Oreochromis niloticus: one gene and its partner. The protein of the gene in region 2 purifies or fractionates together with the protein of the main gene of each other region. This does not show direct contact. Links are inferred from orthologs where the notes say so. Each region holds a gene or a part of one and is shown on either strand. Other genes may lie near its edges.

Region 1 (16,352 bases), on a different chromosome or scaffold from region 2:
CTACCAAGTGCAAGGTTCGCGCAGTTATTCGATTTTTGAACGCAAAAGGCATTAAACCGGTTGGAATTCATCGCTAATTGATGAAAGTGTATGGACAGCTGTGCATGGATGTCAAAAACGTTTGCAAGTGGTGTAGTGACTACCACCTGTTCCCTAAGTTGAAAGAACATTTGTCCCGTAGACGATTCTGCTCCGATGAAGAGGTGAAAGATTCAACGCTTCCTGAAGGACATGGCGGCGAGCTGGTATGACATGGGCCTTCTAAAACTGCCGCAGCGTCTACAAAAATGCATCCACCGAAATGGTGATTATGTCGAAAAATAAATTATTCTTTAACCTTTAAAATGATGTAAATATTACAGAAAATAAACAGTTTTTTGTACTTCTAAAACAAACCAGGAGACCTTACTTTTGGGATTGCCCTCGTAGCTGTTAATACCAAAGTGCCAAAGCCTGATAACTTCAAGCATTCAAGCAACACAGAAATAAAAAACGAAACTATTTTATATATACATATGAGACACTTCTTACTTGAATTCACTCCACTGAACAACAGGACAGAAACAGACTGTTTAAAAAAAATAAACAATTCCATTTTTTATTCCTGCCACCTGGTTTGTTTGGGCAGTTTCACTTGTCTACTATTCCACTCAATCCATGATGAATGTTTGAGTGCTTCATGCCAAAACTTCAACTGTTTGACTGCTTGTTTATTTTACATTATGTTGGACAGATGACAACAAAATGACTTTAGCTGTATTTCAGTCCTTCTATTTCAGGTGGTAGTGTTGTAGTTTCAGACATTACCTGACTGAAGCAATCAAACTTGCATGTTATTCCCACAGCTGGAAGAGCACTGCATATAGTCCTTTAAACCATTACTCAATGTCATTTTAGCCAAAGTGGACAAAACTGTTTCCAAGCATAAAATATGGAATTAGCTGACAAACACATTATTACATGTAGCCTTGTTTAACTGTAAATCCAGTGTCTTGTTTTGCTTATGTTTTTTCTTCTCGAGTGTGATGACAGTTTATTTTAGGACAACTAGAAATTGGACTTTCATTGCTAAGATTTTGGATCATGTCTCCTTACCGAGGGTGTTATAGATTCCATCAGCCTCCTCCTTCACCTGCTCGTCCAGACGCTCCATATTCTGCACCAGCAGGGCAACCACCTGACCCTCCAACTACAGACACACAAAGATGAAATTCAAGTCACGGTTCTAAAACAATTTTGCCAAAGGTCATATACAACTTTATCAGACTTTTGGAGAAACAATTTTTCATCTTTTAAAGGTTTTGGTGAAATGTAACATAGCAAAGACAATATTTTTTCATGTTCTAGAAACACTCCCACCCTTGCACTTTGTTGGAGGTCTGTCAGATGATTGTGTCTACCCTGTCTGAAAACAAAATTACAGTCTCCATCTTAAAAAAAAAGAAAGAAAGAAAAGATGTATATAGACTATCCAGGGATAACAGAGAGATGGTTCACTTTTAAGACTTGTCTTTGCAGAAGACGCTTGGTTCCTGTTGGAGCCTCTCTGACAATGTCCGAATGTTATCAGTCAAGTCAAGATTGGAGACTCATAACCACACAAAGCTTGCAAGGTGCCAGCGGGCTGGATAAATGTACTCTTATAGATGAAAGAAGACAGTCAACACAGATTTATGAGCCACTGCAGACCGCCGTGGATCATTTTGATTTATCTTATCAAGGATGCCACCTGGCCTTCAGGCAGCAAGGACAGAGGAGCCGAGGGCATTACAGCAAAGAGGACAGACAAATGGATTCAACCAACCTTTGCTGCCCTGAAACTGTTTCCCTTGGAAGGAGCTGTAAAGAAGAGTGAGGTTTATGGGCGCTCCATTGCATGGTAAATGGACTGCATTTATAAAATTCCTTCATCCTGCGAGTGCTACACAGCTACCCGAGTCACTATCTCACCCACTATCATATAAGAAGCCAGCTCACAAACACACACAAAAGCCAGCTTTTGTCAGCAATTTCTGATGTTTATCCTGCTTCATCTACAGTTCTTCCTATCACACACCAATATCACCAAGATAGAGGCCTCAGATATGTGTTCTTAACTTGACTGTGTCAGTTATTTAGAACACAAACAGTATTTCAACACATTATACTTACACAGAAAGTGAAGTTAATATTCTGCTCTGTGTTTGTAAGACTATTTCAGAGACAGGACCCATGGGCAACACCACAGAAACCATCTATACATCCAACCATTCAATAAAGTGAATACATTTCATTAATTATTTACAGTGGCACCTGCTATTGAGGACAGGTAGAGTGACGAGCTGAGGCATTTGACAACTACACGACAGCGTTAAGGCAGTTCTTGTGAGGTGTTGTGGTATGCAGTTGCCATTATGTCCTAAATGGAAGGACAACAAGCCCAAGGCTTACTATATAGACCAATAGCGCAGTAACACAACTGCTGAAAACCTTAATGAGGGCCACAACTGAGAGATGTCCAAACCATTCATTGCTACTTGCCACATACAGAGCTGTGCCTGCTGGTTACATTGCACACTGTAACTCATATCTACCTCTTAATGTGCCTGCAAAGAGGAAACTTAGCATGAGAACCAGAAAATAGAGCAAGTAGGTATGGTCCAATGAAACAGGTTCTTTCACACTGTCTAGATCAGGGATGTCAAACATGAGGTCTGGGTCCCAGAATTGGTCCAGGAAAGACCATGCGGGCAACTTTGGAAAATTTTAGCTTTAAAGTTTTTTTCTGGAGATAAAGACCTCCACCATGGCCACTAATACTATGCCAAAATGATTACGTAATAGATAAACAAATAAATGGCAAAAGTTCCTGTTTTTTCACCATCTACTGTATAATTGTTTTAGTTAAACATATCAAAGTGAAAGAATACAAACTTTCTGTGAATTAACAGAAACCTTCTGTTTTATATTCACAGGACAGTTTGAGCTGAGCTACCAGAACCTGATCTGTCATTTTTCTGAAATTACACAATTTCTTACACTTTCAGCCCGAAGAGTTGTTCTGACAGATTTCTTTCATTTACTACAGCAACATTTGTTTATCATATTAAAAAACAGAGACGTACTGTTACAAATACACTTCCATTGCGTATAATTAGATATCGCAGGGATTAAATGTGCAGTTAAACACAGATAGAAACAGGATTTTCACTGGTCCAGCTATATGTGATATCCCCACATTCTGCTGCTGGTACTGTGTTTACTTGGGCTAGCAACATGCATTAAAGGAAGAAGCTGAGCTGAAGGTATTTTAATATTATGAGTAATTTTCTGCAATGATCTCATTGAATAGAACAGGATGATGCTACCAGCTATACTGCAGAAATTGTTCAAAGAGCACGGCGAAAGTTCCATGGTGCTGGTTTCACCTATAAAATCCAATCTACCATCTATAGAAAGTGCTAAAAATCCACAGAGGCCATCTATCCATCCAACTATCCCCTTCGGCTTATCCGGGGCCAGGTCGTGGGGGCAGCAGCCCAAGCAGAGAAGTCCAGACCCCCCTCTCCCAAGCCACCTCCTTCAGCTTGGCCGGGGGAACACCAAGGCGTTCCCAGGCCAGCCAAGAGATATAATCTCGCCAGCGTGTCCTGGGTCTGCCCCAGGGCCTCCTCCCAGTGGGACATGCCCGGAACACCTCACCCAGGAGGCGCCCAGGAGGCATCCTTGTCAGATGCCCGAACCACCTTAACTGGCTCCTTTCGATGTGAAGGAGCAGCGGCTCTACTCTGAAACCCCTTCCAGATGGCCAAACTTCCCTATCTCTAAGGGAGAGGCCAGCCACCCTTCGGAGGCAGCCCATTTCCGCCACTTGTATCTGCGATCTTGCTCTTTCGGTCACTACCCACAGCTTGTGACCATAGGTGAGAGTAGGGACGTAGATCAACCAGTAAATTGAGAGCTTTGCTTTTACACTCAGCTCTCTCTTCACCACAACAGACCGGTACAGCGTCTGTATCACTGCAGCCACAGCACCAATCCGTCTGTCGATCTCCCGCTCCCTTCTCCTGTCACTTTTTAAGTCCATGCCAGGTAATTGTATAAACCTTAACTGGCTAACCTAGATATCTTTAAAAAAACAACAACACAGGTCTGGTGTTAGCATCTTGTTTCTGTTCACATCAGAAACAGAGCTATCCTCATGAAGTCACACTGAATTTATCAGTATGTTCAAAATGCCACGTGGATGTGTAAAATATTTGGATCAAACTACTCTAAAACTCCCAAGACTCCCAACCAAAGTGGTCAAGTGTAGCAGAGAAAAAAAGTCAACTGATTCTCTGACGAAGTGTCACAGTGACAGGTGTGAAGAAACAGAGGCACGCATTTCTTTTCCCCATCATGGCTTTACCCGCACATTATTGTAATTTGACCTTTGTCTGTGTCGCTCTAAATGTCAAAAAACATAATGGGATATCGAGAATCACGACACTCTAATATTTATGAAAGCCCGGCAGCACGACAGGCTGAACTAGAAAAGAAAAAAAAAAAAAAAAAAACAGGAATGAGGGGGCTAAATATACAGAGAGATGGAGAGACAGGGAGAGATCATCGACAGTGAAGTGATGCCAACACACACAGCCGGAGGGTGACAAAGAAAACAGAACGGAAAAAGAAAGAGTGGGAGAGTCGATGCTATAATTATGCTGATCAAACTACATACTGAAATCCATTTTTTCCTCTTGACTGAGTTCTTGTCATGTTGCTAATCCCATCATGTTTTTTTTTTTTAACTGTCACAGCCCGCCGCTAAGAGATAATTAAAAAGACTTTAAATAAATAAATCAACAGGTAACTTCAGACATTTGTGCCCCTGTAAATGACACTGGCAGCTTTACTAAGAACTAATGTTTGTGGATTTTTTTCCCCTTTAAAGTTATTTTAATACAACCCTTTTTTTTAGAATTATTTTAATTTAATGTAATTTGTGTTTCAAATCACACACACAAAAAAGCAAAAACAAAAACCATGAATGCTTCTAAGTGAGACTTAACTGAAACCTTTCTTTTGATTCATTAACAAAGACTAAGCAATCAATTTCTCTCCACCGTATCCAAGAAGCTTAAGTACTAACTCCAAAAAGTGCTGCTTCATCAATATCCGCAGAGACTCATGAAACTTTTGTACTCACCAGAGCATCTATGAGTACCTCAGCACCATCCTCGCTCTCATGCAGTGTGTCAATATCTGTCAGCTCCTGCAGCAGGTCCACCACGGCTATGGCGACATGTGGCTCAGGCTCAGGACAATAACAATACTCCCTACTTGATTTAACTCTGCAATCCTATAACACTGTAGAAGTAAAAGGACCCAAATCAATGCTTTGTCTTTCCTCTCAAAGCCAGGCGACTACTTCACCCAGAATGCAAATTGATCGCCCAGGTTGGTCCGTATTTTTGGTTTGTTGTTGGGGGCTGCACCTTGAGTACCAGTGCCTTCACTGAAGGTATTTTAATGGCTACTGTAATATTTATTTCTTATATTTTTTAAGGGTTTATGTATTTACTCCAATATGGTTTTGAATCTGAAATATGACTCACTTAGTAAATTGTATTTTGTTACAGTTTTAATGTAAGTAAGAACAAGTTTATAGTTTAAAAAAACATGGCTAAAATAAAAGCTTTGTGTGCAACAAATTCAATAAAAAGTTGACACATCTTTGCTCTCTTAGCTCTTTTCATGTTCTTATCCTGTCCTTGGTTCTTTGTACTAGCTTCGTTTACAACAGTAAACAGGGAACAAGTTTAAAGACCAATGTTACGTAACAAAACATTCAATAGAGAGAGGCGATCTGAATCAATCTCAATGTGAAAGGATATCAGTGTTTTCATGACTGAGGAGGCCCAGCAGTGAGTGGACGGCGTTCAGCTCCACCAGCAGGTGGTAGAGATCTGGCATCGTAGCAATCACATGCATTTCCTGGATAATGTCATTCAGATCCAGCTCCGACTCCATGAACCTAGTTTAATAACACAAATTAGAAGTTTTGCATTATAAATTTGATCATAATATGACAGTGTTTCTTAGAAATGCTGACACCCTCTTTTTTCTTTAGATCCACTTAAATCCACATATAGTTTTGTTTGTTGGAATAAAGTCAAACAAGATACTCTGTCTGTAATGGGCTTACTTTTCTGGATTGTCTGGAAACTTAATCCTCAGTTCCTGGTTTTTGTATGACCTCTTCTCAAAGGTCAGAATCATTTTCTTCACTGAGCTCTCATCGACCAGTTCTGCCTGTTTGATTAGCACAGGAGGCAGGGGAAAGGGAGCAAAAAGATGGAGAAGGGAAGATGGAAAGAAAAAGGAAAAAAAAAGATTTTATTAAAGCAACTGCTGCAATAACAACAAAGAGACTGTAGGGTCACCTTAATCATGTGAGTGAAGCAAATCGTGCAGACATTTTGTTCAATCAGATGGAATGCATTTGACTGAAAAGAGAAGGTGTTTGACCTCCTGATGGATTATAAACCTCCAAAGTGCTGGACAGATAACAATGTAGCATAAAACAACCTTTCCTGGAACTTACTTTGTTACCATTTCACCATGTTAGTGTTTCAGTAATTCAAGTCTCACTCTCTCCAAGTTTCTTGAAAGATCCAAGATTAACTGGGTGATTGAGGACACCAGATCCTGGTTATAGTAATCTAGTTTTGTTTGGTTTGTCAAAGCCACAAGAGCATTAGACCAGCCAAACTGACTGCACACCCCCTGTGGTCACTGAATATGGGACCAGCAATACTGGCAACTTTGTGATTGGAGGATTGATGTATGGGAAGTTTTAACCCCAGTGGAGCAAGAGGATTTCTCAAAGAGCTTTGAGGAATAAACCATTTTGCAATTCCTTTTTTAAAAGCAGAAACCTGGATAGAAATCAACCAGAAAAATTAATGAACAATACGAAACTGAAAAGGAAATTCGGGCAGGGAAACCAGTGGGGAATCACAGAAAACTATGACAAGGGAAAGTGAAAAGTGGCAATAAAAACCTTTTGTGTCCACTACAATAATGATCTTACAGTTTATATCATTTATTGCTTATTATTTTAAGTAGGTACTGCAGACTAAGCAGCTTGGAACAAAAATGAAAAATACAAAGACACTTTATAAATGGACGTTTACTTTTGTTTTTTTAATTAACTGACTTTAACAGGTCACAGAACAATAAACAGACATGACCACAGTGGCCAAGTCTGTTTTAATGGCGTGACTTTAAATGACGTAAAAAGAGGGATCTCTTAATCAGACCCAAAGCCAGGATGCAGCAGTAGTGAAGAGGAGAATTTGGGTTAGTGGCAGCACCATCAAATCTCACATTTGTCTTCCAACAAAGGAGTCTGAATTATTTCCTCCAGACTAAAGCAGAGATTGCCATAAAAGAAATAAGTCATCTTTGTCATTTAACATTGTATTCTATTTGATTTAAAGTGCTCTCGTTATTATCAATGGAACATTCGCTAAGAATGCTAATGCATTTAAGTCTGTTGTTTGTGTTGTTTACAGGAAACAAACGCGCTCTTGAGTAAGTCTGACTTAATAGATGTGCTCCCACGTGTTAAAGAAACTGAACTTTTGTCTATTTAATGTTGTCAATCTTAATATTTTCTAATTACTCCACCGACACAGATGTCACAGGTGGTTACATTTAGACACAATGCATGCAGATTATACCAACAACTAACATCTAATAAGTCTGACGGTATAAATCTGGCTGAAACACTTTTAATCATAGCATGTTTGTGTTTGTTTTAGTAGTGTTTGTGTAAATCTATCTGAATTTGCTAATGTGGCTAATGTCCTGATGAAGCATGCTAGTATGGTGAAAGCTGTTCAAAGATTGCCATGCAAACTATGAATTCCAAACATATGAGAATAAAGGAACACATTTAATTTTCATGATCTTTGTTACATTTCTTCATTTTTCATCACCCAAAGAAACCAGAGTAACAACTCTATAATAATAACATAACAATTACAATAACCTTCCCACCTCAGGTTCTTCTGCATCCTGGTCCATCAGCTTTTCCAGGATTATCTTCCTGTCCCCTATCAGCTCCTCATTCTCCCTCATCTCAGCACCTCCTTCTGCTCCTGCCACCTCCCTGTATCTGGCCAGCTCTCTAGCACTCATCCCTTTCAGCTGCTTGCCTCCTCTGGAGTCTTCATCTCCTCCTGCTCCTCCATCCTCTTCGCCCCTGGGACGCTTTGCTCCCCTATCAGGCTGCAACAAGAAAAGGGATCATTAAATGTATGTACAGGGATTTACTCTATAAGATGAATATATGAAAAAGTGTTGGCAGAGCCAAAAATTATCTTGTTGCTTGTTTTCAGCAAAGTGACATATAATGAGATTTTAAAAAATTAATGAAATACACCATTATAGCACCTGACTAGGTCATATCGGGCAGCTATAGAAAAGTCAATATAGAAACACTCAATCATGACTTTTCAAATGAATTTTAAAAAAAGAAGCACATATAATTTTATCAAGCTAATCGAAGCAGCTGCCACAGTTTTCAGCAGCTGTCAAACAATTAATCTAAGAAAACTGATGGCATTTTAAAAAGTTGCAACTAGAACAATGAACCTAAGTAAAAGACGGGATTTTACTGAAATACAGATTTATGAAATGAGAGATATAATGGCGATTTGCAGATTTGATACAAATACTGGGTGAAGTCGAGTTCTCGTGCGTATGCCTTGTATGATAAACGAAACTGTTCAGGTACACATTTGTTTCGACATTAACATATAAAACACCGAATCGAGCTGACTTAAGAATGCCAAAGATTCAAAATGCTTTGTTATGCATAACTAGTTTTAAACAGATGTATCTCAGGGAAGTCCACCGATGTTCAACCCTCTTGATGTGCTGCAGCGAGATAGCTAACAGACTTTTAGCAAACGGGCTAACTGCTAGCGTTAGTAAACACGGACTTGAGGTCCAAAGTTGTTCTTTCTTTTCGTGCAAGCGTCACTCAGTTCTAATTTACTGATCATTAAACAAGAACGCAAACAAAGGAGGGTAAATAAAAGTCTACATGCCCACACTCATTAAACTGTTAGCGTTTATTTACAACCAAATGAATGAGATAAGTTACCGTTAGCTTAGTTAGCTCTCACACACATTAGCAGGAGTGAAACGTCTACCTGATAGTTCAGGAGCTCTCCGACGTCCATTTGTCCAGGATACAAGTCTCAGCTTTCTTATAATTTTATTTCAAAGTTGAAAAAGCGCTCTCACAATTTAAGTAGACAGCTATTCCGCTAACTACAAGCTCCCTACATACACATGCCTGCCGTAAAACAGTCTTCACTCATTGCCGTAGCAACGAATTGTCGTAAACGTTGACGTTGCATGAGCAGAGTTTTCAACCATCTTCGTAACGTCTCGGAGCGATTATTTGGATAGGGATTTTGACTATTTTCCAAGTTACTGTCATCGTTACATCTTCATCCTTGCTGATACGGAATTCTCCCGTAGACTGGACTGCCATGTCTCTCCGTACTAGGATTATTTGTTTTCCTTTGTATATGTGTTATTCATTTTCTCATAAGTGATTTAACCAAACTTATAAATATGACTTAATTTGGTTAACAGTACAGCGCACAAACACTATTATAGACAACAATAATATTAAGAAATACTTTATTTTTCCCATATTTCTGAAATTCCAAGCAACGATAAAGAAATACATAATATTTCTAAATCAGTAATAAAAGGGAAAAACCACTTTAAATGTCAATAAAATGTTCAAATGAAAAAGCAGATCACTGTATGTCAGATATCTGAATTGCATTATAAAAAGTTGTTGCATATTGTATGAAAGATTTCGTGTATCTGTCCTTGTGGCAGCGGAGCTGAATCAGTCTGTTAGCGGAAACGCTATACTGTAAGCGGCGATGAAGTTGATCAGGCTTATGAATGACAGAAAATATTTTTTTCAGTGATCACTTTTTAAATGTGTCCAGTTTGCAGCCAGTAACAGAGCCAGCAGCGGACACCACAACCACCACAACTGGCTGATTAAAAATCTCCATCATTTTAGTAGCTTGCCTCCACCAGTGTGTGAATGTGAGAGTGAATGAATAGTGGCATTGTAAAGTGCTTTGGGTGCCTTGAAAAGCGCTATATGAAATCCAATCCATTATTATTATTTTCTATCAGGAAGGTCTCAGCGTCCATAGGACATTGTTGTCTTGTATACAGCCTCTGTGTGGGTTTTCGAGCTCTGTGGTTAATCTGGACATCCAGGTACTTGTATTCCTCCACAATATCCACTCCCACTCACTCTTTCTTACTCATGTTCAGAAGCAGATTATTTCTCTAAGACCATGCCACAAAATCATTCACTAGTGTTTTATACTCCTCCTCCTTCTGCCCATGACTGATACATCCAATCACTCCAGTCACATGTGGTGGTCAACAGTTGTTAAGCTCTGATAATGTCGGCTTCAACGCCAGTATCATATGCTGCCTTATAAGTGAGCTGTAAATTTGACTCAGGTTAACAGACAGTGGGCTAGCACGAGTCTGAAGAAACTTGGGGCTGATACCATCAGGGTTGCAGAAGTTAGAGGTATGGTTACTTTTAGGGCCAAAAGTGCCCAAACAGAATTCTGCAAATCAACGGCAGTGCTTGAAAGTTAGATCGTCGAAACAAGCAGTAACAGGAACACATTGCTTGTATGTTATCACAAAGTAGTATTATAACACAAAACAATAAATGAATTCATTATCATCAGGGTGTCCTAAAAAGTCACTAGAAAGCTTCAGTTGATCCAAAATGCTACAGCAAGAGTAAAGAGTCTTGCGTTATCAGGCCCTATCTTATCTTAAAGGCCTCATAATACCATTTCACACCAATAGAACATTTCACTCTCAGACTGCTGGCTTACTTTTGGTTCCTAGGATATTTAAAGGTAGAATGGGAGGCAGAGCCTTCAGCTTTAAGGCCCCTCCTCTGTGGAACTAGTTCCCAGTTTGGAATCAGGAGACAAACACCCTCTCTACTTTTTGTATTTGGCTTAAAACCTTCCTTTTCAATAAAGCTTACAGTTAGGGCTGGACCAGGCAACCCTGTACCCTCCCTTAGTTACACTGCAATAGATCTAGGGTGCTGGAGGCCTCTTATGATGTGCTGAGTGTTTCTTCTTCACTCATCTCTTTTTACTCTCCACGTGTTTATATATTTATTTCAGTTACGTAGTTATTGTTCATCTCTGTTGTACACAGTGTGTCTTTTGTCCTGTCTCCTTCCCCTCACGTCCAGGTGGTTGCAGCAGATGGCTACCTCCCCTGTTTCTCCCAGAGGTTTTTTCCTGTTAAAAGGGAGTTTTTCCGTCCTACTGTCGCCAAGTGTTTGCTCATAGGTGGTCATTTGATTGTTGGGGTTTTCTCTCAATGATTGTAGGGTTTTTACATAATAAAGAAACCCGAGGTGGCTTTTGTTGTGATTTGGTGCAATTTAAATAAAATTAAATTGAAGTTGGATACAACATTCTAGAATATGCATTTAAAACATTAAACCTACATTTTTGTCAGTCTCATTGTTCTTGTTTAGCAGAATATGTGTACATATGGATGCATTATTAATAAGCTACTTCATCCACCACTGATAATACATCTTAATAAAAAATATGTTTCCCCTCCCAACAGAATCCTTTGGGCTCTGTTGCCAATGCTGAAATAAGCCCACTTAATAATACAACTAAATTACACATGACTGTTACCTCATCAGACCTCACAACATTGAATCCTGGTCTTATAGGCTCAATTTTGCTGCATTCATAACAGAAGATGCTTCATATGCCAAACTGTCCCACTGTTCCAGACAAGCAGAAAATCACCTTTTCAGTGAGCGTCATTGAGAAATGTATGAGTGCCGCATGGTGTAGAAGCCTCCTTTGCCACTCCAGTCTCTGGCCAGTGATCTGTGACAGTAGAGCAATAGAAACAACATTTAAAAGGAAGGCCACTGCCAGGCAGTCAAGCTTGACGTCCCACCAAACACGAGGGAAAATGCACTTGATCAAAGGCAAAAGAGAGAAAAGAGAATAAAAGGGAGCATGAGGGTGAAAAGAGGACTTTATATGGAAATCCCAGGGCTGGTGAGAGGCAGTTTCAGATGAATACAAAGCTTTGAATCAGGGACCTGGAGAAGGCTCTTTTTATGAGTTTGACAAATGAATTTGGGTTAAAAAAAGACAAAAAATAGATGATGTAAAAGTATTTATACTGAACTCCCAATCCCAATGCCTGTTTGTGATTATTTACCAAGTATACAATAAGGTAAACGTCCAGGTGCATTATTAATGTTTATATTGCTGACAGTTGTATAATATGCATGTGAACAATGACAATGAACACATGTTCTTCTGATGCCCGAAAACTGGATGGTGAAAGACGAGGAATATAGTGACTATGGAGATCGTCAAAATGTGAAAAGTTCAAGAGAGCAGATATCTGAGCCACGAGTTAAATGTATAGTCATCTGGGACACAGGAAATGATATGATTTGATCCAGCAAAGCAGACACACAGTATTTCCAGTGTAAGGCACTTTAAAAAATAATTTAAATTTAATTTAAAAAATTAAATGTTAAAAGTTAACTTTTTTATCAGAGGGTCTTTTTCACACAAGTCACTGTAGAAAAACCACCAGTGTATAGGACGAAATGATTAATTGCTGACTTCCATTTGGCTTCAGTTGAAGGGTATTGTGCATGATGGCTCACTGTCACACTGAAACTGTCATGCTTTACTGAGATAGTTTAATAGAACAGAAATATTGTAACACTGGTACCTAAGTCAAGTCAAAGTGACTGTAATCCACAGTATTGCAAATATATTAGTTGATCAGCTTCTCACCTCACATGTGCTTCTGGAAGGATGGTCAAAAATCCCAATAAATACACTCCTAAATGTCATGGAAAGACTTCCCAGAAGAGGATGCAAAGGGTGGGCCAACATAATATTAAACCCTTTGGATTAAGAATGCAATGGCACTCAAGTTCCCAACACTTTTGTTAATATAGTGTACTTTTCTTTCTTTTTTAAAATTTTCTTTTAGAATAGAATAGAATAATCTTTTAATTGTCCCACAAGGGGAAATTTGGTTGTAACAGCAGCCAAAAAGACACATACACAGGTACACAGGACACAGAACAGAAACATACACAAATTTTCTTACATATTTACATTAAGGACAATGGTTACTATAAACAGAGTACTGTACAGTTATTAAATTAAATAAAAATAACTACAGATAAGAGGCAAACCAGGTTGTAGTGCGAATCGGTTAATTAAGTTATGGCAGTTACAGCGCTGATGGAAACATCTCTGTTTGTTGGGAGCAGTTTTGATTGTACAGTCTGACAGCTGCAGGGAGGAAGGACCTGCGGAAACGCTCCTTCATGCATCGAGGATGCAGCGCCCTAAATGCCCTTTACAGTGCCCTAAAACCCATAGCCATGATTTAAGGCATAGAAAACCTCACATACTTACAAACGCAAAGAAATTGGTTTGTGACACTTTCACATGGAGCATTGTGAATGTTTTCTGCATTCCAAATGCTCTTCAGTAGCTCGTGTTCTCCTGGAAACTGAGGACACAGATATGCTTTTAAGTTTTAAATTATGGCTGCCAGTTGACTTACTTGAATAAGCTTCTGATGGGTAGAACAAATTTACATTTAAACAACAGAGAGGATACAACTCTACAGACAAGTTAATGTCTTTTTAATCTTAGATGTTAGACCTTATTGTGTTGTATTTTTATATATTTCTATGTCAAACATTCTTATTGTATTACAAAAAAATAATGATATGCTAAAATTAATTTATTGTTTTTCAGCAAATCTACTAAGTTCAGCTGAAACACCAATTAACTCTCTAAGGGGATCATCAGAAAGGTGTATATTGTGTATCTAGTGTAATATTTTTATATAAACATGTCAACTAGAGTATTAACTCTGAATGAAACCTACCTTGAAGCTTGCATGATTACAAACACTTTATGTTCCACACAATAATTAACACGTTTCGCTATCCCTGAAGGAGCCAAAAGCTTTTCACACACAGCCGTCTGCCTAATGACATTGCCTCATCGTTTCCCCCGCAGAATTATTCTGGTTCGACGCTGTGTGATCCCTTTACACAGAATCGCACAGCATTTTCCTTGAAACAGAACAATACAATTTCACACAAGCTGGGAAGGCTGATTACATTAAATCACATGAGGTCAGTGTGATTGTATCATGCTGTGGAGACACGCATAAGTGTGTTCAAAATTCAGAGTGGCAATGTTATTAAAAAAAACAGTCAGAGAAGGAGCGAGAGACACAGAGAGAGGGGGAGAGAGAGCGAGAGATGATGGTGACAGCCGATTAGCCTTATCATTTCCCCCTCACTAAGTCAAGTGGTGCAATCAAATGATTTTCTCTCCTCTTAAACATGATTTGAATTATGCATCACATCAGCAGAGTACTTAAAAGCCCCACTCTCCAACAACGCACATTAAGCACTTACCTTACTTAGATTTCCAGAAAACTAAAGAATTAACAAGTTGTTTGGTCATGATGTACAGTAGTTCTCTGTGGATGAACAAGAAATAAGCTTTGCTATCCTCCTTGGATGGAGGAACATTTGATAATAAATTAATTTTAATTGAACATAGCAAAAACTCTCACTAAATAGAAATTGCACCGTATTCCTTTGATTGTTAGGAAATCGTAAAAGTACAATTTTGTATATTGTGTTATAGTCTGCAGAATATGTCAAGAATTGCTTGTTGTACAAGTAAAAAGGTGCTTTATTATTATTTGGGTTATGTGCCTTTTCATAATGCTGCTATTATACTTTTATATAACCCTAACCAGAGAGATTTCTGCATATCATCACATTAGATAATGTTTGGGCTTTTTTCTTTTCGTTTTTCTGGTGGTGTCTGCATTTTCTGCTGTCAGATTTAACACAGCAAGTATTCTTTGATCTATTTTAAAATCAATTTTGCTCCTATTTTGGGTAAAGCTTTGTATGTTGTAGTTCACAGTATACTATCAACATGTTACTCTTTCTTCCATCCATCTTCTTCTGCTTATCTGGGGTTGCGAGGGTAGCGGCTCTACTCTGGCCTCTCTTCGATGGCTGAGATCCTCACTCTATTTTTAAGGGAGAGCCCAGGCACTCCTTGGAACACATTTCCGCCACTTGCATCTGCAATTTCATTGTTTTCGGTCACTACCTAGAGCTTGTGACCATATGTGAGGGTAGGGTTGTAGATCAACCAGTAAATTCATAGCCTTGCTTTTATGTTCAGCTCTCTCTTCACCACGATGGACCAGTGCGGAGTCCACATCACTGCAGCCGTGGCCTCATCCATCTGTCAATTTCACGCTCCCCTGTCTACCCCTGTCTTGTGAGCAAGACCCCGAGATACCTAAACTCGTCCACTTGGGGCAGCAACTCGTCTCTGACCCTGAGTGGTCACTTCAATCTTTTTGTGGCTGAGAGCCATGGCTTCAGATTTGAAGCAGCTGATTCTCATTTAACCACCTGATGAAGCCAGCAGAACCACATCATCTGCAAAAACCAGAGATGAAATTCTCAGGCCACCAAAGTGAAAACCTTCCCCCGACCTGGCTATGCCTGGGAATTTTGCCCATAAACACTGTGAAAAGAATCGGTGCCAAAGGGCACAAATCCAACTTATTACCAACAATAAGCTCATCAAGCTCATCCAATGGTTATATAGGGAATAAATGGCTTGTGACAGTAAGCCAGACACCCCATCCTCCCGAAGCAACCCCACCAACAGGATACTCAGAGGGATGCCATCGAATGCCTTCTCCAAGTCCACAAAGCACATGTAGATATGTTGAGCAAACTCCCACACACCCTCAAATATCCTCTGGTCCCCCTTCTCAAAGATGGGGACCACCACCCCAGTCTACCAGTCCACAGACATCGTCCCAGATCTCCACATGACATTGTAAAAGCATGCACTACATCTGGAGCCTTTAGGAACTCAAGGCAAACCTCATCCACCCCAGAGACCCAGCCACCAAGTTGTTTAACTGCCTCAGTGATCTCGCCCCTAGTGAGGGCTGAGTCGTTCCTCAACTCCACATGACAAGGTGTTCAAAAAGGTACTGTGAATGCCAGTATGTCTTGGAAGGGATATATAAAGAAAAACACACATATCTGAAATATTTAAAATAAAATCCCTGTACTGTAAGGGAAATCATCTATAGGGGTAGAGTTCAAATAAAAGCAAATTATTTCACAGCGGACTACCCCAGTAAATTCAGAGTTA
Region 2 (16,711 bases):
GGTAAAGGACAGATGTGAAGGAGAATAATTAAATAACTGTGGAGCTGGTGAGAATCTGACTCCACTCACAAAAGTCTCTTGAACAACGTGACGATGACATCATTGATGTGGGTCTACTGTGTTAAAACTACAGGGCCCTGAAGATGGACTACAAAAAGCTTATTTTAGATACTCAACTATAGCTTTGTATGTTGCATATGTTTCAGGTGGTTTTAAATAAACAGGAATATATAGCCTATAAAGTCATTAAAAATTCCGGTCATACTTAGATTAGTTGGTCATCATGTCCTCACTTACTTTCACTTCCTCCTGGAGAGGTGATCCAGTACAAAGCCCGCCTTTATTAAAGGTTTATGTGATTCAGGTCAGATGAATTCATGATAATCTTAAAGGCAGCAACACAACAACAGATATACAGTAACATCCTGAGTATCCCCTCATCATTTCCTTATATTATCAAAATCTGATGGTACTTTTTTGTTTTCATAATTCGATCGATTTGGACAAGTTCGCCAACATCACTGGCTGAAATGCAGCCCCAAACCATGGCAGAGTCTTCACCATGTTTTGAAGATAGCTGTTGTGCCTCCTCCGTACATACTGATGACTTGAACTACAAATTTCAGGTCTTTGCTGTAGTTTTTCCTCTCAAGGACAAGGCTTTCTGTTCATCTGCTTTAGACAGTGTTTTACACCTCCCACTTTTCCTCTACTCATCCAGTTTACTCATTTTTTAAGGATACACTGCACACCATGCTGACATAAGCCAAATTTTAGGGAATCACCTTGCTGGTACAAAACTACTATTTTGTGTCCGACTGTGTTATTTTTGGCATTTTCCGTAGATTCAACTAAAGACATGGGAACAAATTATGTGTTTTTGCGACAAAGTGCCTAAAGGTACAAATTAAAATTGGTTCTTTCCTAAGTGTTATGTGTAGACACAACACTGGTTTGTCACTTGAGTCAGGTGTCTTTTTTTATGCTTGAATGAGTCACACGTCAATGTTAAGTGGCTTAACAAACAAACAGAAAAAAAACATTCCTCTGAAATGGTCAGGTACAGGGACTGGACCGAAAATGAACCAAAAAGCACTCAATGTCCATAAAAAACAAACAAACAAAGAAAATTACTTTTGCATGGTACATTCAAGCTCAATTACTGTAAACCTAAAACTCACTTTGGTCATTTTAATACAGCTATGAATCTCTGGCTCTCTTTCACATTGCGTTTTTGTCCCGTCTTCTCCCCATCAGCCCCAGTTGGTCGCAGCAGATGGCTGCCCCTACCTTGGCCTGGTTTCTTCCTGCTAAAAGGGAGTTTTTCCTTCCCACTGTCACCAAGTCTTTGCTCAAAAGGGGTTAGTTGATTGGTGGGATTTACACTGCATTATTGTACGTACGTTACCTTATAATATAAAGCACCTTGAGGTGTTTGTTCTTGTGATTTAGAGCTAGATAGATAAAATTGAATTGAATAATCTTCCATCCATCCATCCATCCATCCATTCGCTTCCGCTTATCCTTTTCAGGGTTGCGGGGGGCGCTGGAGCCTATCCCAGCTGTCATAGGGCGAGAGGCGGGGTACACCCTGGACAGGTCGCCAGTCTGTCGCAGGGCCAACACACAGGGACAGACAACCATTCACACTCACATTCACTCGCACATTCACACCTAGTGACAATTTCGATTATCCAATTAACCTATCCCCACAAGCTGCATGAATAATCTTGATTTTCTAAATGATTTACTTCATGATGAAGATTTTAGCACAGCAGTTCTGTGTCCACATTTTACCCGTGGGCTTAACAGTCTGCTATTCCAGGTTCAAAACATATCAGCAGGTTATGTTAATTCAAATTTACACGATCTGCATCACCTGTTTGTTACTCTGATTGTTCTGTAGGACATTATCTGTATCCTATGCTGAAGGAGGTAGTAAATAAACCACCTTTCTTTAGGATTTAAAGAATCAGACCAGAACTTATTATTGTTGCCATGTTACGTGAATGGAAAACAAAAGGTGTGTTTTACAGAAAACAAGGACATTAAGTTTCTAAAAAATGCACTGATGCAGCCTCCAGACTGCTCGCTCGGCTGCAGGCTGGGTCACCTTGGAATCGATGAGTAACAGAGGGGCAGGGTGACAAACAGGAGACTATACAGTGAAGTGATTTACAGCAGCGACAGCCCCGGTAAACAATGGCGCTGCCCTGTCTGCTCGTGTCTCACCAGAGACTTTGTCTTCCAATTTCACGTAGGCTACTTTGCCCCGGGCCGTCACACGCATGCGTCCCGTCCAATCAGGAGCATCCAGCTTCCAATCAGCAGCCCTAAGACACGCACACACACACACAGAGGTAGCAGTTGTGATGTAGGTTTAATTGTTGACAGTTTACTCAGACTGATGTTGACAGAGGAGGTGAATAAGCAAGACATAGGAAAGTTACTGTTATGATTTGTCATACTCAGACACACTCATTTTCTACGTGTGCAAAACGTGACTAAGACATTTCACTGAGACATGGGGATGAAATATTACATCATCACCCTTACTCACAATACATATGGTCAGCGGTTAACCAATCTTGTCTCATGGGACCTGAGGCACATGCTACTGTTTGGTTGGTGTAATGTCCAGTCAGAAGCAGCTGCGGCAGGTCACGCTGAAGGACTAGCCAATGAAAAATGGGGTAAACAAACCAATATCGACCTCTTTATAACATATGCATTACCTGCACAGTAAAGACATAACAATGGATTGAGGTGACCACATTGGCTATGAGCGGGGCATCCCATGTTTAACCCTTTGACATGGAGCAACATCAAACAATGCTCAAGCGTCCTTGAGAAGGACTCTAGCCTCTTTGCAGCCTCAGGGATGCTCTTCTGCTTGTATTTAAACGACAAACTAGCGAAATTAGGACGTGTAGCACGCTGTTCTCATTAAATAGCTGATTTTTAAGTGCCAGGTCTCTCCTGATGTGCCACAGGATGAAAGCACGAACACAGACAAACCGAGAGGGATGTAGCCGATCCGATACAGTCCTTGTTAAGTGGGCTAACAGGGCCCAGTACAACCCTATGACCTTGTAAATACACAGCCAAAAACAACCTGCTCACAAACTACCGCCGCCGCTACGTGAGGCTTCGTGACTAGCGGATGAGCTGGGTAGGTTGGTAGGCAGGTCGCTGAGGCACCGGCTCCTAACGGTAGCAGCACGCGAGCGCTGGGTCACAAACCTCCCCCATCCCTCACCTGATAGCCCGGTTAGATGTTCTCGGTGGGATTCGGTAAACGTTGACTTCAGGTTTGACACAGAGGATCGACTCATATTCGAACTGACCATCAGTCGCCATCTTGACTTTTACTCAGTCGGAGTACGCCGGTGGCGGTGATGGTGACGGTGTGGTGTGTCCGCGCCGCGTTAACGGCTATTTGACCGTAATAGACGGTATATTTGCGCATAAGCGGGTCCCTCTGCGCCATTGCTACCGACACGTTGCTACATTAAAGGGGTGTTACGCACACATTTTCTACGCTAGATCAAAAGGAACAAATGAAATGATTAATAGCTGGGTGTATTATGGGATTTTTTTCGGTTTAACTTTAAAATTTTAATATTAAGCCTTTGCTGCTTTGATTACGACTTTGTTTTTCGACTTTATTGCCAGAGTACAGTTTAAATGTGAAAAACTGGAGTCAGTTTTTAACCACAATCCACAGTTATGGGTTATGGTAGCTACCACCTACCGGTAGTTACCCAGAAACTATAAAACTATAACATTGGTACTATAAAACTATAACATTAAGAATGATAACCGTTAGCAATCAATAACACAATCCAGTATCTGATTGTAAAGTATTTTTTATTTGACTTCGCTACAGATACAGCAAGCAGCAGCTACCCAATGTTACAAGCCTTGCCACAACTTGAAAGCATTTTTTTCTCAGTTTTTCTAATTCTCAGTTTAGCTCTTGTAGTGATGGTCCAACACCAACATATCTTTTTCTCATCAGACTTAATAATAGACTTAATGCTAACTTCAGAGGCAGCCACAGGTTTGTTTTACAGTCCAAGAAGCTTGAAGGCATCTCTTAAATCTTCTGTGTCACAGGGCTGAAAGAGAAAAGGCAGAACAGGACATTATTATCATTCTAAACACATCATTATTTCGATTGGCCTCATCCTGCTTGCCTGAGGGAAAATATGTTGTGTGTTACATGTTATACCTGGAGGATGCGGTTGAGTTTTCTGGCCAGGCGTACTGTGTTTTGATGCAGACCTTCCCAGGCCTTAAATTTGCTTTGCTGGGCCACAAAATTCTCCCAGCAGTAGAAGAAGTCTGAAAACAATCAGCAAAATAAATAATTGTTACTGACATCCAGGAAAGGATTATTTTAGGGAATAGTGCACAACTCTAAAATCAAATATGTCTCTACTTTTTCTGTTTATCACCCACATAGGCATAAATTTATTCATCCACCTTTGTAACTCATGACTGTGATGTGCACGCCGACTTTTTTAAGCAGCCTGAGACCCTCTCTTTCACGACTGTCCTCCATGTCACAGAAGTAAAGACGAGAGACAAAGATCCTGAGGCGAAGGTTGGGTGTCTGTTTGAGGAACTGGGCCAGTCTGGAAGAGCAGTTTGCACAGGGAGACCAGGAGCAGAACCAGGTGATGGAGTAGCTGACCCTCCTCTCCCCATGAAATCCATACCCAGACAGGCCAGGGCATAATGTACCAAGTTGGCGCAGGAACAGCAGCTGCAGAGAAAAATAAGAATAAAATAATCATTATACAGCCTTCATTCAATTGCTGTTTTCTCTCTTGCTACTGAGCAGACCCTTTTCATATCTTCTCCCACTTTACCTACCTCAACGTGGCAACCATTGCGATTGCGGAGGTGTCCAAAGTCAAAGGACAAGGAGTCAGGCCCTACTCGTCTTTTTACTACAAAACAGAGGTATGTTTCATTCCGGCCCCTCGCCCAGCGCACATTCTTGTAATGATAGAGGAACTTTTTTCTGGGCAAAAGCATACTGAAATAAAGGGAGAAAACATTAAAGAGCACACTGCAGTAGACACAGCACAGATTAAAAAAAACAAAAAACAAGATACATTTTAAAAGCACGCTATGTTGAATTTATCAGTCAACATTTCAGTGCAAAAGGTGTGGCTGCTTTGTGGTGTCAGAAAGTTTCCCTAGTAATTCGCACAATTAATAATTTTACACCGCTAAGGTCTGAGACTAATTCTTTTTACTACTTAGATGACTCGCTCATTAATGAAAGTTTTATCTCTTAAGTTAGCACAAGTAATGCATGCAAAACCTGTGGTTAACCAAGCACAAGTGATGGACAGTCAGAAAGCAGATTACATTCACTCACAAACCTTTTCTCACTCTCAGTTTCACGACTTTTAGTGAAAGCAGGACAGTTATTCATCACTTGTTAATACTGAAACCCTGATATAACTCACGAGTAAAGGGTCGTAATTATTGAAACAGATTTCCAATGACAAATCTTATAATGGCATCAAAAGTATCGTAGCGTGGTAATAGAGCCATAAAAAAACACGTTTTTTTTCTTTTCTTAATTTAATAGTTTGCACGCACAGTTTGGTCAAATAGTTGTTGTTTGGAACGATAAATGCAACATATAAATAGAATATATCCATTTTGCTCACCTGTCTAGCTTTGCAATCATTTCAAAAGACGCGCTTTGCCACTCGTCGGGCTTGGGTAGCATAAAGGAAGGTAAATGAGAAAGAGTGAAAGTGTGTGTGTGTGTGTGTGTGTGTGTGTGTGTGGTGTGGTGTGTGTGTGTGTGTGTGTGTGTGTGTGTTGGGGGGTTAAAGGGAGGGAACTGAGAAGATATACCTCTAAACATAAACATCCTGCATACAACACAAGGCAGCATCTGGTTGGACAGAATGATTTTTCAAAGATAATTTGGGGAGGCGTGATACAGAAGAGACGGCTGGATTACACCGTGCTGCTGCTAAGCAATTAAAGCTGTAATTGGATTACTCACTGGCCAAATGTTTTCTTTCTGAATGCTTCACGGTTCTTATGTTTATTTAAAGAATTTGACATCTGTTTAAACAATGATTAAAGTGAAACCATTCTTTTGGTGAAAGGCAATAAAGGAATTTTATTGGAGGGGGAGATTACACAACGCAGATTTTAAAAAATAATCCGAGTGACCACACATGAGAGGAGCGTTTGACGTGATTTGTAACCTTTGGAGTTTTTACAGACGTCAGTAAATGGAGCCAACTGGATGGAACTTTCCAGACACTTAAGACTCATACAGTCACGGGCTCTCAACTGTTTGTTTTTGCCATATCATCAAGTAAAAGCTTCCAGATACCGTCTCACCTTGATTTACAGTGCTGTTCAGCCTTTTCCACCTAGCTGGTCCCCCCTCCCAACTTCCTCAGGGGCCCCAAGATTTGGTGGAGTTACAGGCGTTCCCAGACGTAACACTTACTTTGTATTCTCATCTGGGTTTTCCCAAACTGTGTCAGGATGGGAGCAGACCTGTAATCGACCTACCTCGCCCTACGTGCCTGCCGGACTGGCTGGCCAGCTGACCGACCACAGCGTGTGGATAAATCGCACTCACAAGCCTTTGAACCTTCGGATGCTGTCATCGGTTCGGTGCCAAATCAGGATGTGTATTATTTTGCTCCCGTCTTTTTCTTTTTTGCTCAGTCTGTTTTAGCTCGGGCCCAGTCTGCTCACTCAGTGGCACCGCATGCAGGCATCCTGCTTTCCCATGACTCCCCTCACCCTCTCATGCACTCTGTGGTTTGGGGAATTCACCGTTTCCCAGGGTGGCTGTTTTTGGCGCTCATCTGTGTGTGTATGTGTGCAAGCATGTGTGTGTTGGCCATCTGTATGAGCATGTCATTAACACAGTCTATATGTTATACATCATCTGGAACAAATTTATCTAATTTATCCTGTGATTGTGTGGTGCCCCCAAATTTAGAGTGATTCATGAGTGTGTGTGTGTGTGTGTCTACATGCACTGAACAACCTCACATCATATTGCATTACTCTGACAGCGCACTAAGCCTAATGTCTCTGCACATTTGATCTTGAGCGCATGTGTCTTTTCTGGACTTCAAGAGGCTGATCAAATGCCAAACTATATGTAACCACTTCCCAACCACCTCTCTGGGTTTGACCACAGTTGACCAGGGTCATCTCACAGTCACACATGAACACTCATGTGTGCACTACCACCCCTCCTGTGCACTGTATGCATGTGTGTGTGTATGTGTGTGTGCTGGAGTAGTACCGTATGGCCAGACATGCATTTAAACCGTAGTCGAGGATGGGGGGGGGACCGGGTGTAAGAAATGCCAAGTCATACTTTCCGAAACCCACCCGCCCACACACTGCTCATGCGCGCACAGGCACACACACACTCACACAGCCATACCGTGCAGACGCATATGACCACAGTCACAAACAGACTTTCTTTCCAGTGTGTGAACTCACATCTGTTTCCTGACAACAATAATAGCTACAGATCAGGCGGGTAGAGGCCCAACTTACAGGTGTCTACTGTTTGGCAGTCACGTGGAAACAACCTGATGATGACCGAGAAGTGTCACAAGTAAAGACTACAGCTTTTACAAGGTGAAAATGCCCTGACCACACACTTACTCGTGCATGCTACAACACTGCTGTGTTACTAGGTGTTTCAGCTTTGTCATTTAAGTTAATTAAAGGACGGTGATTTTCCACTACGGCTTGGCTTGCATGATTTAGCAGCAAAGTATAGGCCTATATTTGCCTTCACATCAGGTGTGATATGCCTCCTTCCCACACACATTAACACTGCACAAACATCCTGTGGTGTTTATGTGTGGCAGATTGATGCTATACTGACATCGTCTGAGGTTAGCAGTGGGGTAGACTCGCAATGCAAGCGTGAGGGCTGCTAACCATATTAAGGTTAGCCTCAAGCAGGGGGGTTGTGTGCATTTCCCCACTTAGTCATATAAACTGCCATTCACCTGCAAACCACACACATGCTTAAGTCATAATACCTATGTATAAATTTTACGTACCGTGCTACAATCTCCATACAAATGAAAGCATAACTGATTTTGATTAAATCTTTGTAATAACTCAGTATTTTGGGGATGCAGCTAATAGCTACTTTCTGCAAAATGAATCTACATTTAGTATTTTAACTATAAAGTAAATTTAAATGAAAAAAAAAGCACAAAATCCTTTCATTTATGATGCTGTGACCCACAATAGCTTCCAATTTTAAAAAAAGATAATACAGTTTATAGTGTATAAATTAAAATGAATGAAAGTGGAAAATAATGATTTATTTCCTCTTCATTAAGGAAATATAATGTAGAATTAAACAAGAACACATTGTTAAAGCACTATATATTTTATCAATTAACACTAGCATTAAAGAATGCACTCTCTTTGCGTTTGATATCTTTACCATTGCCTAAAATATAACAAAGAAAACTAAAAGTGGAAGAAAACGTTATTGAGGTTGTGCTGTTTTTGCAGCCTCATCGACCCACAAGCTATTACGAAGGTGAACAGCGGCAGTCAGGGAGTGCAGAGATAAAAGTAGATAAATTCTGCATATTCACGAAACCGCACATACTTCCTATACAGTAACTGTACAGCCTCCTACACATCTGTTTGGTTTCACACAAAGAAACGCGTGCAGTCTCACACACACACACGCGCGCGCACACACCGTTTACAGTGTTGATTTTTTTTTTAAGAAAAGGAACTGCACAAACACAGCTAAGGAAACAGTTTAAATTTAATTTAATTAGTACTTTATTACAAATGCTCAGAGAACAGCACAGCTGAGGCATGATCATGCTATCTTTGAATGATTAAATAAAGAATCGTTTTTTCATCAAAATGAAAATGACGAGATGATGAAAAATAAACTCAAAACAAATGAATCCTCGGGATAGCAGCACACTCAATAAATAATCGAATAAATAACACAAAGATTACATAAATGAAATACTTGAACATGCTGCTGCAGAAATCAGACGCACTTCTTTACCTTTTAAACTGCACGTGTCCATTAAAACTCAATCACAAGTCTTTGTAAAACACTTTAGTGAGGGGGTAGCCCAGGAAGCCTCTCTCAGGAGTCTCTTGTTTCAGTTCCTTATCATCTTCATCACTAGTTTCCACCCCAAGGTGGCGATAACCCAGTTTCCTGAAGAAGGCTTCCCCCACCTTTGAGGGGTAGGGGACGTGTGCATACACTCTGTATGCCCCTGTCTCTCTCTCTCTCTGCTCCAGGCTTTGGACAAGCAGCCGACCGAGGCCCTCCCTGCGGTACCAAGAGCCTGTCACCAGCCTGCAGATCCTGCTGATGCCCGCTCGTGTCTCGCCCTCCCGGAAGATGCAGCCCAGGATATCTCCCTCACTCTCTGCCACCCAGACCTGCCCTGCTGCCTGCTCCCTCTCCGGAGTGATCTTTTCTGTTGATGTCTCTTTTTCCTTGTCTTTGGATCCAGCTCGGCGCTTTGGCTGAACAGAAGTAATATTTAGCGACTAGTCTTAAATAAAAACTGCTCAAAAAAATGTGAATTTTCAGCACGTCAACAGACTAACCTTTTTTGTAAATGGTGTCTTCCCACTGATCCGGCAGTAGGGATTCTGCAGGGTGTCATCCTGTGCCTCTCTGTAGCTGCTACCCACATAGTCCCAGTAGGGCCGGCTGCTGCCCAGGACCCCGGTTGACCGCGGCATGGTGATTTTGAGAAAGACAATTAACAGGAAGACAGGAATAGCAAGGGCCAGGATGAAAGAGTGGACAAGGCAGCGCAGAATTGAGGAAAACACAGCGAGGATGAAAAGGCAGAGTGGGCGAGTGAGGATGTGGAGGATGAGACGATTTTCCGTGCCCTCGCAGCCCTCCTGCAAAGAAATTCATGCACTTTTTTTTAAAGAAAGGGCACAAACCTCAAAACGATGTGACTTAATACCCAACATGATGAAGCCCAAAGCATTGTCTAAATACAAACCTTGATAAGGGCTTTGACAATTTCAATGTCCTCTTCCTTCATCCTCCTCATCACCACCTGGTCAAGCTCCAGCCTCACCATGTTTAGGCTTTTTGCTCAAACAGCTGGCCTGCTCCAACGCTGTTTTATGTTGCAAACTTCAGCATCCACAGCGCCTGCACAGGGAGCCTTGAAGAGGAGTGGATGGATAGGAGGATGTAATTCTGGGGGCTAGTATTAGTGAACAGCTTGTGGATGATTTTGTTGGACAATGAAATACTGGTTAGTGTTTTTTTAAACACATAGTATGACAAACGTGACGTAGTTAAAATAGGTCAATCCATTTCAAAACTATGAAATACTATAAAATGCACTAGACTTCGCTTCCACTGAGCCAGTAGTTGCATTGTAACAGCACACCCACGCTGGCTCCAAGCAACAAAGGCAGATGGAGATTATGGGGGATTTGCAGCCTGCAGGACCGTTTTTCAGTACTGTATAATTCACATATATCAAGCTTTCGTCTTTACATTTAACAGAAATCATCAAAGGTACACTCGAAAGCGAAAAGACCTGGTTCAAATCCTTATATGGTTATTACGAAGGGCTGCGGTCTCCTGACACATTTAACCCCCCGCTCCACTTACCTTCTGCACAGAGTACCTCAGATCAAGCTGAAAGGTGGGAAACGCGCTCTGTGCGCTTCTGTTGGTTTTTAGCCCGTGTACGTTGGCACGTTTCACTGAATAACCATCATATGTTTTCTTGCAGAAAGAAGGGAATTATGAATACAAACTTACTCTATTTTATGCCCGTTACACGCTTTCAATGTGGCTGCCTACGCCATTTGCGTACGTAAAACTTACACTGCGCAACTGCTACGTGAATAGCGAACGCAACGTGACAGCGCCGCGTACGTCTGGTGGCAGTGACGTCAACCAAGTTCCAGTTATACTGGATGGATTTACAGTGGCAAAATCGCTGCTGTATGCCACTTTATTAGGTACACCTGTTCAACTTCTCCTTAATGCAAGTATTGAACCAGTCAATCCCATGGCACCAACTCCATGCATTTAGGTCTGTAGGCATGGCCAAAACTACAGCCAGTCTGGTTCAAGCATTTTGGAAAACTGCTTATCTACTGAGATTTTCTCTCGCACGCACTTAGGGTTTCCGGAGAATGGTTTGAAAAAGAGAAAATATCCAGTGAGCGGCACTTGAATGAAAATGCCTTGTTGATGCCAGATATCAGAGAAGAATAATCAGACGTCTTGAAGCTGACAGGAAGGCAAAAGTCAAATAAACCACTTGTCATGACTAAGGCATGCAGCATGTCTGAATGAACAAGTCAAACCTCGAAGCAGATGGTATACAGCAGCAGAAGACCACACCAGGTGGCACTCCTGTCAGTGAAGAACAGGAAACCGAGGCTACAGTTCACACAGACTCACCAAAACCGGACAATAGATTGGAAAAAACGTGTGTGGTCCGATGAGTCTTGATTTCTGCTGGAACATTCAGATGGTATGATCAGAGGTTGGTGTAAATAACATGATCTTGTGGAACCCTCCTGCCTTGTATGTGCAGTTCAGTCTAGAGGTGGTGGTGTAATGGTGTGGGGTATATTTCATTGGTATACTTAGTTCTTTAGTAACAAATAAATGGTCTGGTTCTTATCAACTCCGAGCACTCAAAGCGTTTTACAGAACTTGCCTCATTTACCCATTTGCACCCATTCACACAGACTGTTAGTATCTGAGTATTATTGTTGACTATGTCTATCTACTAAAGACCGATCATTGTTGTGTGGGAAAATACAACATAGCTCAAATCATGTCAAACTGTTTTATTCATTGGTGTTATGGATGAGCCTCAGGGATCCAGTCCAATCCCAGTAAAGTCACTCAGCTGAATTCTCCTGATACACTCCAACTATAAGTTATATTGATTCATACTGTTTGGTGATGAAAAACTTAAAGACCAAAAGTTATTACAGTGCAACCTCAGTTTGATTATTCAATTCAAAGTAGTTTAGTGTAGTAATCCTGGTGTGGATGAGCAGATGATTTAATGCAGGTCAGACTTTGGGAAGTACCCCTCATGTCCCACTGACACCATAAACAGGTCATTTATCACCTTGTGCTGCTGGTTTTAAAGCATGACTCTATTTGAAAATACAGATATTGTGTGTTCACAATCAAATGTCAATTTCTGCAGCTGGAGCATAGCATTTTTAAAAGAAAAAAAAAATGAAATAGCAAAGTGACTTGAGCCAAATGACCCCCATCAAAGTTGATTGCCCATCCAGTTTATGTGGTCTGCTGCTGACCCTGAAAGTGAGTTCAGTGTACTCAAATGGCCTCCACAGTCACCAGATCTCAATCCAACAGAGCACCTTTGTGGTGGAACAGGAGGTTTACATCATGCATCCGACAAATCTGCAGATGCTATCTGTGATGCATTTTTGTGATGCAAAATCTCTGAGGAATGTTTCCAGCACCTTGTTGAATCTGTTCCACAAAGATTTAAGGCTGTGCTGAAGTCAAAAGAGGGTCTAACTCAGTACTCGCAAGGTATATCTAAGAAATGGGCGGGTGAGTGTATAATCAAAGGCTATTTGTGGTGCTGTGATGTGGGCTTTTACTATTACTTAAAAAAGTGTTGCTCCCATTAAATTTATGCATTTAGTGGTGGCATGCAGTACATGAACTGAAATGAATATGACACCTGACCAGTCATCCCGCCTTGTGGCTCACATGTACCTCAAAAATGCATGTGCTTAACTCTGGATGTATCCCTGAACTGAAACTAAAGAGCAGGTGAAATAAGACTAAACAATATTAACACACTCTTTGTTCCACATTTTGTTTGTCGGGATGTGGACACCCTACAAGTAGTAAAAAGAATTAAAAATCCAAATGATAAAAGGTATTAACAGATTTATTAATTATTAGTTACTATTAACATTGTGAAGAAAGTAGGCAATATACAACATTCACAAAAAACATATTTACTTAATAAAACTGCCAACGACAGTATCAATTAAACTAATCTTTAGGAATATTCTGAGGTCCATGTACAGCCTATTTAAATGTATAACATTTGGCATGGCATTACAACACAGTACTCATCTAACTGCATGTCCTCGCTCACTTGCATGAGAACTCAACTGACTATAAAGTGCTAACAAACAGCCCACAAAAAGTGAGGCATTTACTCATACATACACTTTATTCGTCTCTAACATGCACACCGTTCTCAGTTAGAGAACTGCATCTCTTTAGGTTTAGAGCTAGGTCCATTCAGCGCGTCGTCCTCTGAGCTGACTGCAGAGTTCACTTCCTTTGTAGACTTTTCCGTGGCCTCTGCTGTTACACCTTCATATTTCACCTCGCTACTTTGTGGAATCTCCCCGTCTCCTCCTCTCTCCATTCCCCCTTCTCTTAAGCTACTGGTGCTGACTTCAATTATTACAATTTCATCTCCACTTTCCAGCTGAAAGATACTTTCCATACCTCCTCCACCCTCAGTAACTGTGCCATTTCCAGTACTGCAACCTCGGCCCTCCTCTCCTATCATTCCTCCTTCACCTTCTATCAGGGCTATCATCTGCATGCCCTCCTCAGTTTCCTGTTCCAGCTTGGTCTCACCTCCCAGCTCAAACACCACCTCCTGCCCATCAAGTGGTACTAAGCCTTGGGTAGATGTGCACGAAAGCTGCAGGCTGTTGTCCTGCCCTTGGCTGAAGGCAGCACTGGTTGAACCATTATCCTGTGTGTTAGTGTGGAAATGAAGGACATACGACTCCCCCTGGCTGCCATCCCCACCTGATTGTCTCCCATCCTGCTTTTCTCCACTCCATTCTTGCAGGAGTGACATCACCCCTCCCTTATCTCCCCCTTTTTCCTCTTCACCTGACACATCTGTCTTGAACTGCAGCACGAGTGACTTTCCCTCTCCACCCAGTCCTTCATCGATTGCCTCCCCAGATGCATTCCCTTCAAACTGCAGCACATATGACTCCCCGGCCTCCCCGATATTCATCCCCTCCTTTGCCTGTTCTTCATTATCAAAACACAACACAAACTCTTTCCCTGACAAAGTTTCCCCTGTCCTCATTTGCTCCACAGTGGAATGAGGTTTCCTTTCTGCAGGGACAGGAGCAGAATCTGATGCTGCAGCTACTGTGGTGGCTGGTGTAACCATGGTAACAGTCGGCGAGGGTCCTGAGGTATCCGCTATGGGAGCTACAGTGGCAGGGGACGACAGAGTCGGGGTAATGGTGTCAGATGTTGTGGGTAGAGAGGATGAGTTTGTGGTAGTGTTAGCAGCAGTAATAGTCTGGGTGCCACTGGTCACATTAGAGTTTGTTACTGCAGCAGCTCCGCCTGCAGTGTGACTGACTGGGGTTGGGGCCGATTTCAGAAGTGTAGCTTTTGGTTTGCGCCCCCGTCTGCCTCGTGCAGTCCGTGTGCTCTTCCCCAGTATCGGCTTCGTAAGTAGGGAGCTGGCTGAGAGGTTGTGCGTTGGTGTGGCAACTGGAGTGTGTGCATTGTTACTGTTGTTAGTAATTATGATCTGTTGTTGCTGTGATACAGATGGAAACTGGGGTATCTGAGTCTGGTTTTGGTTAAGCACAGGCTGGAATGCTTGGATAGTCTGAAGCACGGGGAGGGACTGAGTCTCTGGAGCTGGTGGAGGGTTGTTTGCTGTGGGGAGGAGAATCAGGCTGGACTGGGCGCCGTTGCTGGAGGGGCACTGCAAGAGGAGGAAGTTTTGAGGCTGGGATGGTTGCGGTGGTGGTGGAGGAGGTGGTGGCTGGACTGGCGTAGGCGATGACAGAGGAATGAGCTGCAGGCCGCTTGCTGTCTGTATCATGAAGTAGTTCTGGGAGGTGTTGGGGGGAATATTAAGTGCTGGTTGGGACACAATCAGACTGCCATTGTTTCCTGAGGCTTCCAGGGTGATGGGGTTCAGCAGGGTTGTGGTGGTGGTTACTCCTCCAACACTGGCTTTCACAGCCACGCCGTCTTTACCTCCACCACCTGGGCATGGCAGGGAAACACCAGTGCCGTGGGTGCGGATATGCCTCTGCAAGTAGGAGTGCATGACAAACTCCTTCGAGCAGTACGGGCATTTGTAGTCCTTGCGTGAGGAGTGTGTGCGAAGGTGGAGCTGAAGGTTGGAGGAATGAGTAAAACTCTTACTGCAGTGGGTGCACTGAAAAGGTCTCTCACCTGAATGCGTGCGTTCATGCTGCTCTCAGAGAAATGTTAACCAAAAAAAAAGGAAAGAAAAATAGAGAAGTTATGAAATCAGTTGATAAGACTGAACATTTTATAACATGACACTGCAGCTGCACTGACCTGTTTCAGATTTGACGTCTGGGAGAAGGACTTGGAGCAGATGGAGCACGTATGAGGCCGCAGACCAGAGTGCATCTGACTGTGTCTGCGCAGGCAGCTGGTGTTCTTGAAGGACTTGCCGCACTCTTTACACACATATGGCCTCTCACCTGTGTGCTGCCGCAAGTGGTACTGGTAGTGGGAGCTCCACTTGAAAGTGAGAGGGCAGTGAGGACACTGAAATGCCCGTACACCTGTATGCACCTAGGTAAGATATATGTTAAAAAAAGTGGGGGTTAATTTTTAGTGTCCTACCAAAAGAAGAATCCAGAACTGAGCTTGATGAAGAGTGGAAGTCAGCACAGGGAATGCTTGTTACAACTGAAGCACTGAGTGACAGTGACTTTAGTCATGAGAGACCAATAACTTACAGCATATTCAAAGTTCTTTTTCCTTTTGCTGTTAGCATTTGTCTGATGTAGACTGCATTCATCTCCAGAGGTAATTACATGAGAGCTAAAATACCTAATCAAGTGGAATGTAGAGTTTCACACAGACCACAATCAAGAAACCTCACATCAAGAAAATTATTTTGGTAATTAAAACCTTATTTGATTTATCTGAGTGGAACAGAAGAGTGAGCCTTACCCGCTGATGGATAGAGAGCAGTGATGATCTCTTGAAGCTCTTTCCACACTCCGTGCAGCGGTAGGGCCTTTCCCCAGTGTGATCCCTCATGTGGTATTTCAACCCTGATGAACCTTTGAAGGCTTTTCCACACTCTGAACAGCGGTATGGCCTTTCTGTGTGAACATGTGAGACATGAGTTTTTAAAAAAAATAAATAAAAGAACAGCTGAATAAGGAGTTCTTTAAAAAACAACAACTGAATATCAGCACAGTTTTATGTCTCATCTGCTTTCTTTCTAAATATCTTTACCTCCAGCAGGAGTGCTCTTGCTAGATCCTGTCTTTTTGTGGGCTTTGGTTGGTTTTGCTGGCTGCTCCTCTTGTTCCTCTCCGACGGCTATGATGTTGACATGAATCTCCCTCTGGTCCTCCTGTTGCTTGTCAGCCTGGCTCGGAGAAGAGGGAAGGGGGAGAGACAAGGAAAGCGACGGAGGGCACACGATTTCGGCCTCTGCCTCAGCCAGGAGACGCTGCTCGGGAGTGTGGGAGTGTTGGTGCGTGAGGAGCGAGGAGAGAAGAGGGAAAGAGCGGTCGCAGGCAGAGCAGCTGAACTGGGAACGGGACTGTGATGAAAGAGAGTGCATCTGGAGGGGGAAAAAAAGAAAAAAAAAGATGAGGAAAACAGGACGTAGTTGATTTGATAGTT

The links.
Region 1: the proteins of aicda (region 2) and ctnnbl1 purify together in Homo sapiens (affinity purification with western blotting; 3 studies listed by BioGRID, with this or other methods). This does not show direct contact. The link is inferred for Oreochromis niloticus from reciprocal best matches to the Homo sapiens genes AICDA and CTNNBL1.

The regions. Positions count from the first base shown.
Region 1 is NC_031984.2:28,878,334-28,894,685, forward strand, and holds the start of ctnnbl1 (beta-catenin-like protein 1), read right to left. Parts: upstream 9,375-16,352; 5' UTR 9,219-9,374; coding exon 9,189-9,218; intron 8,260-9,188; coding exon 8,029-8,259; intron 6,277-8,028; coding exon 6,170-6,276; intron 5,999-6,169; coding exon 5,859-5,998; intron 5,269-5,858; coding exon 5,171-5,268; intron 1,190-5,170; coding exon 1,096-1,189; intron 1-1,095. UniProt on the Homo sapiens protein: Component of the PRP19-CDC5L complex that forms an integral part of the spliceosome and is required for activating pre-mRNA splicing.
Region 2 is NC_031976.2:22,725,200-22,741,910, forward strand, and holds aicda (single-stranded DNA cytosine deaminase), read right to left. Parts: upstream 5,854-16,711; 5' UTR 5,756-5,853; coding exon 5,694-5,755; intron 5,048-5,693; coding exon 4,882-5,047; intron 4,816-4,881; exon of another isoform or gene 4,772-4,815; coding exon 4,489-4,771; intron 4,348-4,488; coding exon 4,235-4,347; intron 4,122-4,234; coding exon 4,071-4,121; 3' UTR 3,854-4,070; downstream 1-3,853. Other genes in the region: adaptin ear-binding coat-associated protein 1, read right to left, coding at 2,233-2,333, 3,260-3,360; nat14 (putative N-acetyltransferase 14), read right to left, coding at 9,112-9,555, 9,640-9,945, 10,053-10,133; znf628 (zinc finger protein 62 homolog), read right to left, coding at 13,290-15,287, 15,398-15,640, 16,025-16,179, 16,316-16,649. UniProt on the Homo sapiens protein: Single-stranded DNA-specific cytidine deaminase. Involved in somatic hypermutation (SHM), gene conversion, and class-switch recombination (CSR) in B-lymphocytes by deaminating C to U during transcription of Ig-variable (V) and Ig-switch (S) region DNA.